Linked DNA regions of Macaca fascicularis. The protein of the gene in region 2 interacts with the protein of the main gene of each other region in a biochemical or structural test. Links are inferred from orthologs where the notes say so. Each region holds a gene or a part of one and is shown on either strand. Other genes may lie near its edges.

What was found. The genes of interacting proteins can lie anywhere in the genome.
Region 1: of the proteins of SNCA (region 2) and CSNK1A1, one has a biochemical effect on the other in vitro, tested with the Homo sapiens proteins (3 studies listed by BioGRID). The link is inferred for Macaca fascicularis from reciprocal best matches to the Homo sapiens genes SNCA and CSNK1A1.

Annotation. Positions count from the first base shown.
Region 1 is NC_088380.1:156,430,983-156,435,740, forward strand, and holds the start of CSNK1A1 (casein kinase I), read right to left. Parts: upstream 3,135-4,758; 5' UTR 2,663-3,134; coding exon 2,540-2,662; intron 1,869-2,539; coding exon 1,762-1,868; intron 1-1,761.
Region 2 is NC_088379.1:95,378,179-95,382,740, forward strand, and holds the start of SNCA (alpha-synuclein), read right to left. Parts: upstream 2,940-4,562; 5' UTR 2,751-2,939; intron 2,451-2,750; exon of another isoform or gene 2,042-2,450; intron 1,809-2,041; exon of another isoform or gene 1,389-1,808; intron 1,196-1,388; exon of another isoform or gene 1,113-1,195; intron 919-1,112; exon of another isoform or gene 772-918; intron 338-771; 5' UTR 313-337; coding exon 192-312; intron 1-191. UniProt on the Homo sapiens protein: Neuronal protein that plays several roles in synaptic activity such as regulation of synaptic vesicle trafficking and subsequent neurotransmitter release.

The DNA of each region.
Region 1 (4,758 bases), on a different chromosome or scaffold from region 2:
CACTTTGGGAGGCCGAGGGAGGTGGATCAACTGAAGTCTGGAGCTGGAGACCAGCATGGCCAACATGGCAAAACCTTGTCTCTACTAAAAATCAAAAATTAACCTGGCATAGTAGTGCAAGCCTGTAATTCCAGCTACTTGGGAGGCTGAAGCAGGAGGATCACTTGAACCTGGGAGGCAGAGGCTGCAGTTAGCCAAGGTTGCGCCACTGCACTCCAGCCTGGGCAACAGAGTAAGACTTCGTTTCAAAAGAAAAAAACCTGGGCACGGTTGCTCATGCCTGTAATCCCAGCACTTGGGGAGGCCGAGGCAGGTGGATCACCTGAGGTCAGGGGTTCGAGTACAGCCTGGCCAACATGGTGAAACTAAAATACAAAAATTAGCTGGGTGTGGTGGCGGGCGCCTGTAATCCCAGCTACTCAGGAGGCTGAGGCACTAGAATCGCTTGAACCCAGGAGGCAGAGGTTGCAGTGAGCCAAGATCGTGCCATTCACTGCACTCCAGCCTGATCGACAAGAGCGAAAACTCAGTCTCAAAAAAAAAAAAAGAGAGTCTCCAGCAAACAGTAAACACCATTCTCACCTATTCTGAATATTTTTGCAAAAGGTATTTTAGATTGTTGCTGAAAAATAGCTTGGTTTTAAACTATATTTTAGTCTCCATTCCATGAAGAGGCTCTTTAATCCCAAAAGTTAAAACATTACTCTAAAACCCTCCAAAGTAAAGTTAACCATTTGACAGAACAATGTCTTTCTATCTCGTCATCTTTTATCCGCGTTACTGCAATTTGCACTCACCAATATTCCACACCAACAAAGGCCGCAATTTCTCTGATATTAAGATTTACTGCCAAACTCAACAGGTTAAAATTACTTATCAAAGTGTGGCTAAGTGATTAAGATTTCTTTTAATACAATTGATTTGAGTAAATTTTAACATAGTTGGTGCTGCTCAAACTGCCTTTGCCATTACCTATACAAATTTAGTCCCGACTGAAATGTGCCAAATATGACCATTCACGAAAGGAAAGAGTAATTAACACTTTTAAAAGAACCACAAAGGATTTTACATAGTATAATTCAACAATTTCATGTCACATCTGCTGCAGAGATCACAAACATTGTCACTATGCCATCTCCTTCCTCGAACCCCCACACCGCCTCCTGCAGCTTTATTCTTGGCTTTTCAAAGGTTTAATCCACTCGGGGCTGCTAAAGGAGGAATCAAGGAAGCATAATTTGTGAACCCAAGCTGAGAAAAGGGCAGGAATATGGGGTTGAGTCACGTCGTTCCGCCATTTTCTAAGCGGAGGAGGAAGACATGTTGGAACAAAAACACAACAAAAGAGCAGCCATTTCCCAAGCCAGCTCCAATAGCAACTCGAACTGACACCGCCGGGTCGCTTCAGCACCTTCAAATCCACTTCACTGGACAAACCTAAGAACATCAGACGTGCCGCCGTAAAAAAGGCAGCAGCCAACCCTTCCGCGTAGGGATCAAAGATGACCCGCACGCATAACTGCAAACGAAAGCCTCGGGAAGAGAATGACGGAAGCGAAATGGAGCAGTGTAATACAATGAAATAAGTTGGCAAATTGAAATTTACTCAGTGATTGCGATGACTTACAGGAAGGCACCAGCTACAAGGAACCCAGGTAACCAAAACAAGACCCGGATTCAGCTGGTCTCATTACCTGCCTCTACCCACTTCCCCATTCCGTGCTTCCCTCAGCGGATCGCCTACATGCACGGGGTTCTTACCGTATGTGGGGGATGCCAACCCCACCTTGAAGAATCTTATAGAGCTTGCTCTCGTACAGCAACTGGGGATGCCTGGCCTTCTGAGATTCTAGCTTCACTGCCACTTCCTGCAGGGGAAAGAGGGGATGATGGCATCAACATCCCTACGGATTCAGTGTCATTTAGGAAAGGAGAGAGACATTAGCAAAACTCCAAGTCGCGACTACAAGGAAGAAGTGAAAAGCTGGAAAGAGAAAGCTCTCTGTAATTATAAAACGAGGCAACCAGCCTCAAAGGCCTCTTCAGGGGGTAGTGACGAAATCGTACGTCCTCTAAAGTGCAGGAAAATGATTCATCCAGAAAAAAGAGGCAACCTCTGAACGTAGTGAGAGGTTTTTAAGGAACTAGGCGATCGGAAACTGTTCTAATTGGAACAAGAGGCCCAGCAGGATTAAAAATTAAATAAAAGAAAAGAAAAGCAAAGCATGGGAATCACAGAAAGAGGATTTTGCCGTTTCCACCTTAAAAGTCGGTTAAAAAAAAAACAGCTCGACCAAGGGACATTTATGGGAAGTGTTTAACAAGCTGGGAAACTAGTTCCCCCACCCTTTTCTATCGGGTTCTTGACCCTTTTAGGGAGAGAGCGGGCGAGGATCGCAAGCCAGGAAAACTAGCTCCCTGGACTCCCTGGCGAGTGCGTGCGGTGAGGAGAGGCCCGAGCACTTTGGGGGTGCGCGGTGGTGGTGGGGGGAATGAGGAAAAGCGCAGCGTTATCGTGAACCCCACCCCAGGTGATTACCTCGCCGTTGGTGATGTTGATCGCCAGATAGATGTCCCCGAAGGAGCCAGACCCGATCTTCCGTACCAGTTTATATTTCCCTCCGACAATGAATTCGGCCTTAGAGCCGCTGCTACTCGCCATCCTGAGAGACGAAGATGGAGTCTGGGGCCAAGCCCCGACACCTCTGGGAAGACGACGGAGGCCTCTGGGGCTCCTACACTGGGCAAGGCTACGGAGGAAGGCGGCAGGAAACAGAACACGGAGGCCTTTACCGGCGTTCGGGGCCCAGAATCAGCCGAGGGGAACCTGATCACCGCCGCTCAGTCAGGTTTCTTTTTGCCAGGCCGCAGTTTGTGAAGGGCTTCTCGCGGTTACCAGGCTGGGCCACTTGTTTCTCGGCGGCCGCCGCTGCCTCGCTTGCGCGGCGACGTCGCGGGCTGGAAAAGGGGCGCGGTGAGCTAGGGCGGCGATACAGCTACCACCACTGCCGCCGGCTCCGGCCCTGAGGGACCCCTGTCACTCCGCCGACGCCGCCATCTTGTTACTCCAGCTCCAGCCAACACAAAATGCCCCCAGTCCCCGGGAGCCGCTTCTTCACGGCGCAGAGCACTCTGGGAAAGGGATCTGGGGCGCTCGCTCCGAAGGATCGGCAGCTAGAGGGCGGAACCGGATCCGTGAGAGTCGCGGCCCACGCTCCGAGCGTCACCCTGTCACCGCCCAGTAGCGCATGAGCGCTGCAACTCCTGCTGACTGCGCAGGCGTGCCGCGGCCTGCCTCACCCCGCCCCGGGCTTTCTTCCACTTCCGGTCGGCGGCGGCTCAGCCGGTGTTACCTGTTACTCGCCTCGGACCCGCAGGGTCTCTGGAAGGCTGAGTGGCCCCAGGCCTCGATGTTGGGAGGAGTCACCTTCATGTTTCGTGTCAGGCCTCCTTAGGAGTTGGGTATTGACCTTTGCTCTTTGAGGCGGTTTTTAACCTTTGATCTTTCTTCTGGCCGCTCCCCAGGACCGGCCTATTCCAACCCAGTTTCTGTTTGGAAAGAGGCTATCGCCTCTGGTGGAGAGGAAGAGAAAAGCAGCCCGCGTTGAGGAATCGTTCAGGGCTCTCGGTTATAGCAAAACCTAGCTAATTACCCTTCATAATTAGAATTTTCTTCTCTACTACGGAGTGTTATAGACCCTCTTTCCACAGGAGGGGAAAAAAGAAAGAAGCCGGAATCCCCCTGCCGTCCTACGTCTTTGCATTATTGCCTCACTACCACTTTTGATCTTCAGAAGAAAACCCAGTATCTTGTTCATAGTGAAGATTAGGGATAGATGGAATCAACAGAAAATTAATTTAACAAGAGTGAAAAAACTGTTATGCCCCCCAACCCCACCAAAACAACAACAAAGAATCGTATGTTGGTCATGTTGAAAACCGCAGTATTAACCTGAACAGAGTAGAGGTAACTATTACAAAATTTAATTGACAACATTTAAAGCTACACGGAAATTTTTTTCTTTTTTACTAAAAATCGATCAGAGAATCAAATCTTGACCACGTTTTGTATTACAAAATTTGACCTGGGAAAATTGGGTTGAGTAATAGTAATGTTCACAAAAGAAAGCTCCATGGTTTATGCTATCATCTTAAGTCAGACCTCAGTCGTAAACATTTAAGCTAAGCCTATCTTAAATAAAATTTAATTAAAATAGAAATGAGGGCTGGGCGCAGTGGCTCACGCCTGTAATCCCACCACTTTGGGAGGCCGGGGCGGGCAGATGACTTGAGGTCAGTTGTTCGAGACCAGCCTGGCCAACATGGCGAAACCCCGTATCTACTAAAAATACAAAAATTAGCTGGGTGTGATGACGTACACTTGTAACCCCAGCTACTCGGAAGCGGAGGTTGCGGTGAGACTAGATCACGCTACTGCACTCCAGCCTGGGCAACAGAGAGACCCTCTCTCAAAAAAATAATTAAATAGAAATGAGAGAAAAATGTGAAGAATTTTAACTGCAACTTTGAAAGGTGATCAAGTAATTAAGGTTAGTAATAGGGTTCATCTCGGAAGATAACTGAAGAGAGAGGGGAAGAGACTTCCCCTAAAGTTTAGCATGAAGTTTTAAGGCACAACCAACACCCAGGGTGCCCAACTCCCAAATCACCACTATTAGACATCGTTCGCCTTTGGTGACTCTAAAGCATGTTTTGACTAAGTTAAAATCTGCTGTTAAATTCTGGTCTAAAACGCAG
Region 2 (4,562 bases):
TTTTTTACTATTAGCTCAAATACACACATTCACATTCACCTACCTACATATACCTCTGACTCAGTCCACCCTTTTGACAAGCAATGATGCAAAAATGAATCAAGAGAGAGAACTACCAGCATTTAGAGTATTGATTATCCTAACCCATCAGTCATGAACCAACACCAAAGTGACATTTGGGGTTTACCTACCTACATAGAGAACACCCTCTTTTGTCTTTCCTGCTGCTTCTGCCACACCCTGTTTGGTTTTCTCAGCAGCAGCCACAACTCCCTCCTTGGCCTTTGAAAGTCCTTTCATGAATACATCCATGGCTAATGAATTCCTTTACACCACACTGGAGAACATAAAATACACTTTGAATGAGAACTTTTGGGGGAAAATAAACAAAAAACACTGAAAAATCATGAGAAACCCTCCAAAGTGTGAGACTCTTTTAAGTGTACACTCATTTAACCATTGGACAAAGCAGACATTTTTAGCTCTGGCATTAAAAATTTAGCATCTCCCATCCATCTTGGCTAGTAAAAGTCTAGCCACCTAACCATGGATTAGGATGAATCCTCTGAGTTGTTAATACTGCATTTCAGAAGTGGAGTTGCATGAAAAGAGTCACTCCTGTTTTAACTTCCCGGGGTCTAAAGGGTAACAGTGTGAGTTAGAAGCATGGAAGCTGGAGGCTTAGGGTCTGGGGCATCCTTAACATGAATCCCAGAAGAAGGCTAACAGGTTGATGGTGGAGAGGCGTAGGCAAGAGAACTAACTACTCACTCTGGGTGTGGTTCAACCTCAGGCAAACAGCGAGCCCAAGGGTGCTGGTTCTAATACATCCGAGCATCCACCCCCGCCCTCAGATATCTACCCTGAGCAGGCGGCGCTCACACTCGCGGGCCGTCTCTAACCCTGCGCCAGCCACCCGAGGGGGCGTTCTCAGCATCCACCCTAGCGGACCCCGCGCCAGCACTTGTTAACCCTTTACCACCTGTTGACTTGGCCTCCCTGCACTTCCATTTCATTATTTGCCAAAGGCAGCTTGCTTACTTTACAGAGAAAAACCAAGAGAGCGGGCAGACGGATTTCAGGTAAGAGAGAAATAAAAGTTGGATGCTTACGCTCCAGGGAGCATCCTCGCGTTTCCCGGGGAAAAGCGGATCCCAGAGACGCATCCTAATCTCTCAGCCCTTGGGGAGAAGCCCTTGACAGGACGAAAGCCAGGTCAAGTCTCTTTCCTTAGGCTCCCCAAAGGGACAAGTACTCACCTCCCAGAGACCTGGCACAGCAGGTCCTCACCGCAGCACCACCCCCTCCTGGTGCCCACGACCATTCCTCTCCCACCCGGCTTTCTCCAGGATTTCCAAAGACGCCCGTTTAGATCCACAGGTACTTACCTGTGTCCCTCTGCTTCTCCACAACTCCGATTCCTCCCTACCTCTCTTAAAAAAAAAAAAAATTAAACAATTCCCAAATAATATTTAATAGGGAAGAAGGAGGAAAAGGAGCGCACAGGAAGGGCGGAGGCGGCACCGGGAGGGGGACGGTCCCCAGAGGAGGCCGCTGTGAGCCGACGACGGGAGGCTGGGGGCGTGGGAGGCAAACCCGCTAACCTGTCGTCGAATGGCCACTCCCAGTTCTCCGCTCACGAGGATGGAGAAAAAGGCAGAAGGTTTGAAGGGAAGGCGTGAGGGAGCGCTCAGGACGCTCTCGGAGGGGCCGGGCCGGGGTCTGCGCTGCAGCCCGCACGCACCTCACTCCCGCGTCGCGGCGCTCGGTCGCTCGCCCCCTCTCTCGGGCCCCTTCTGGTCGTCGCCGTCCTCCTCCTCCTCGTCCTCCTCCTTCTCCTTCTCCTCGGCTCTCCGCCCCCACCGCTGATTTGTCAGCGCCTCTCCACGCTCCCCTCCCAGCGCTCGCTGCTTTCCCTGCAGCGTGCTCTTCGTTTCCTATCTCGGATGGGGATGGGGCAGGGGGCGCAGGGTGAACCACCAATTCCAGCCGCCTGCCTGGCCGCGCAAGGCGGGAAAGTGGGGGCGCTTTTGCGCCTCACCTCAAGTTCAGGGTCACGGGCACTCTTGTGGCGATTGGGAGCGGTTGGGCTTGGGCTGACGACTCTCCCTCTTTCCCATTCCCCTCCCTTCCTGTCCCCGCCTTTCCTCCGGGTCCTCCCTGGGACCACCCCCTACCCCTCGTCAGAGTCGACCTGGGAGAGCTGAGGGCCTGAGGGTCGACCACCCAGAGCAGAGCCTATCCTTTGGGGAGACAGGCAGCGCAGGGAGGTGGCTCACACCGCACCGCCGAGAGCACTTTGCCCTCGCATCGCTGAATTTAATCACGGTCACAGGCTACGTTAAGGGTCGCTTTAGTTCAAATATCCTCAAGATTTTCGTTTGCTCTTAATCCAGGTCGAGCTCGAAAGGGTCCCGCGGGTGAATCGGAGACTACTAAGGAAGAGTTACAGGTTGAGGAGGCAGGAGGAGGCTCAGCAAATCCTCTTCCCACCCCACTATCACCATTTTCCTTTCCACCAATCAGCGCCTGCCAGACGCTGATTTTCCCATCAGCGGAACGAGGAATAAATATTCCCCAGCCGTCTAAAACAAGCGGTCCTAAGGCTTTTCGCTCTAGAAATGGGACTTACTTTGCAGACCTAAGTGCATGGTCTGGTAGACAAATCCAGCGTGATTTACCCTACCAGACCATCATATCCAATTTCTTTTTCAGCCCCTTCTGAAAGGGAGATGCTACACGCCACTCACCTTTCTGACTTCTAATTCTCGTTGCCCTCAGAATTGACATCCCCTTTTCTCTCCCCCGACCCACCACATGCACAGACACACAGACGTACACACGCGAACCTCCAGACAATTTTTGCATCGCTTAACACATTTTCACCTCTTTCAGAACTGGAAGACAGCTATTCCTGGATCACACCAGAATGGAGAAGCAAGCTCCTCCCACTAGCAGAAAGCCTTTGCTTTCTGTGCCTGGATTCCGAAGATTAGTTAAGCACTGGTGGGGGCCGGCGGGGGGGGTGGGGGCCGGCGGGGGGGGCGGGGACAACAGCTCGTTTTTGCTGTGTTTTTTAAAAATTGTTTTTATGTTTGTAGCTAATGCTTTGTCTGATTCTTGCACTCATTTGGATTCTGAAATTTGAGTAAAATCAAATGTAAACATACAAAACAACTTTAAAACCACAAGGAATAGTAAACAAATGATTATACATGAAAGACATATAGAAGATAATGCCTATGTGTTCAGTGGAAAATAGAAAAACATGAAAGTAAGATTACAAATTTTTATTACTTAAACTCTTCCTTGAACTATTGGTCTGCCCTTTGGAAAAACAGACTTTCCATAACGCAGTAGCTCATATTAATAGTTTGTGTTTGCTTAGGACCAGAGCAAGAAGGTTGGACTTGGGAGCTAGTTTGTTGTCTGGCTTGGAGACCTTGAACAAGTTATGTTCTCCTTCTGTTTCCAGTTTTATTTTTTGTAAATGAGGAGATGAACTCAGGTGATCGCCCTATATTCAACTTTTTGTTATGGGAAATATTCAAACATACGCAAAAGTAGAAAGAATAAAGTACTCCCATGTGAATATCACCCAACTTTTACATTTTTTCTATGCATGGCATATCATGTCTCATTCATAAGTCCACTCACTTTATCACTACCAATCCTCCCTATTTTTTTTCACAAAATTCAAGCTTTATATACATCTTTTCAACTGTAAACATTCAGTATGCATCCACAAAATTTAAGAACTGTTTAAAAATAACCACAATGTCATTAGACGATTCTTTTAAATTTCAGTGTAATTTACACCTAGTGAAATGCTCAGATGTTGTGTCCCTTTAAATCAGTTTTGAAAAAACCATGCATTGGTGTAACCCACACTATTTTGAAGACACAGGACATTTTCATCACTCCAGACAGTTACCTTGCACCCTTCATGTGCATATTCTAGAATGTCATAAAAATCTAATCACGTAGTATAAACTTTTTTATATCTGTCTGACTTCTTTTACTCAGCATAGTATTTGTGAGGTGATTCATGTCATTGCATGAATCGGTGGTTTGTTTTTTATTGCTTTTTGTTGTTTCTTTTTATTACTGTTAATAGTGTAAGTTTTCCATTGTGTCTTATTACAACTAGTACTTCAATAGGCTATTACAACAATTATTTAATATATTATTTCATATGACATATTTATAGTATAACAGTGACCTCTTTGAGACCTGGTGCTTTGAGTCAAATAGGTAAATAAAATGCGATATTTTAGGTCTCATTACCAGACCAATGTGAGATAATTATTTTTGGACAGTTGCATTTCTTATAACATTTGACATGATTCTACACTTTTATATGGTAATTTGTTAGTACTTTCGCAAAGGACTAATGTACTATGTTATTTAGTCATAACAAGCAGATAAATTACATTTTATGTAGCTTTTACAGACAGAGAACCTGAGCTCCAAGAGCTTTGGTGATAGGCTGAGATCATCTAGCTTTTTTTAAGTGGCAGAACTGTGACAATTTAGCAGAAACTGTTACAGAAGGCACAATT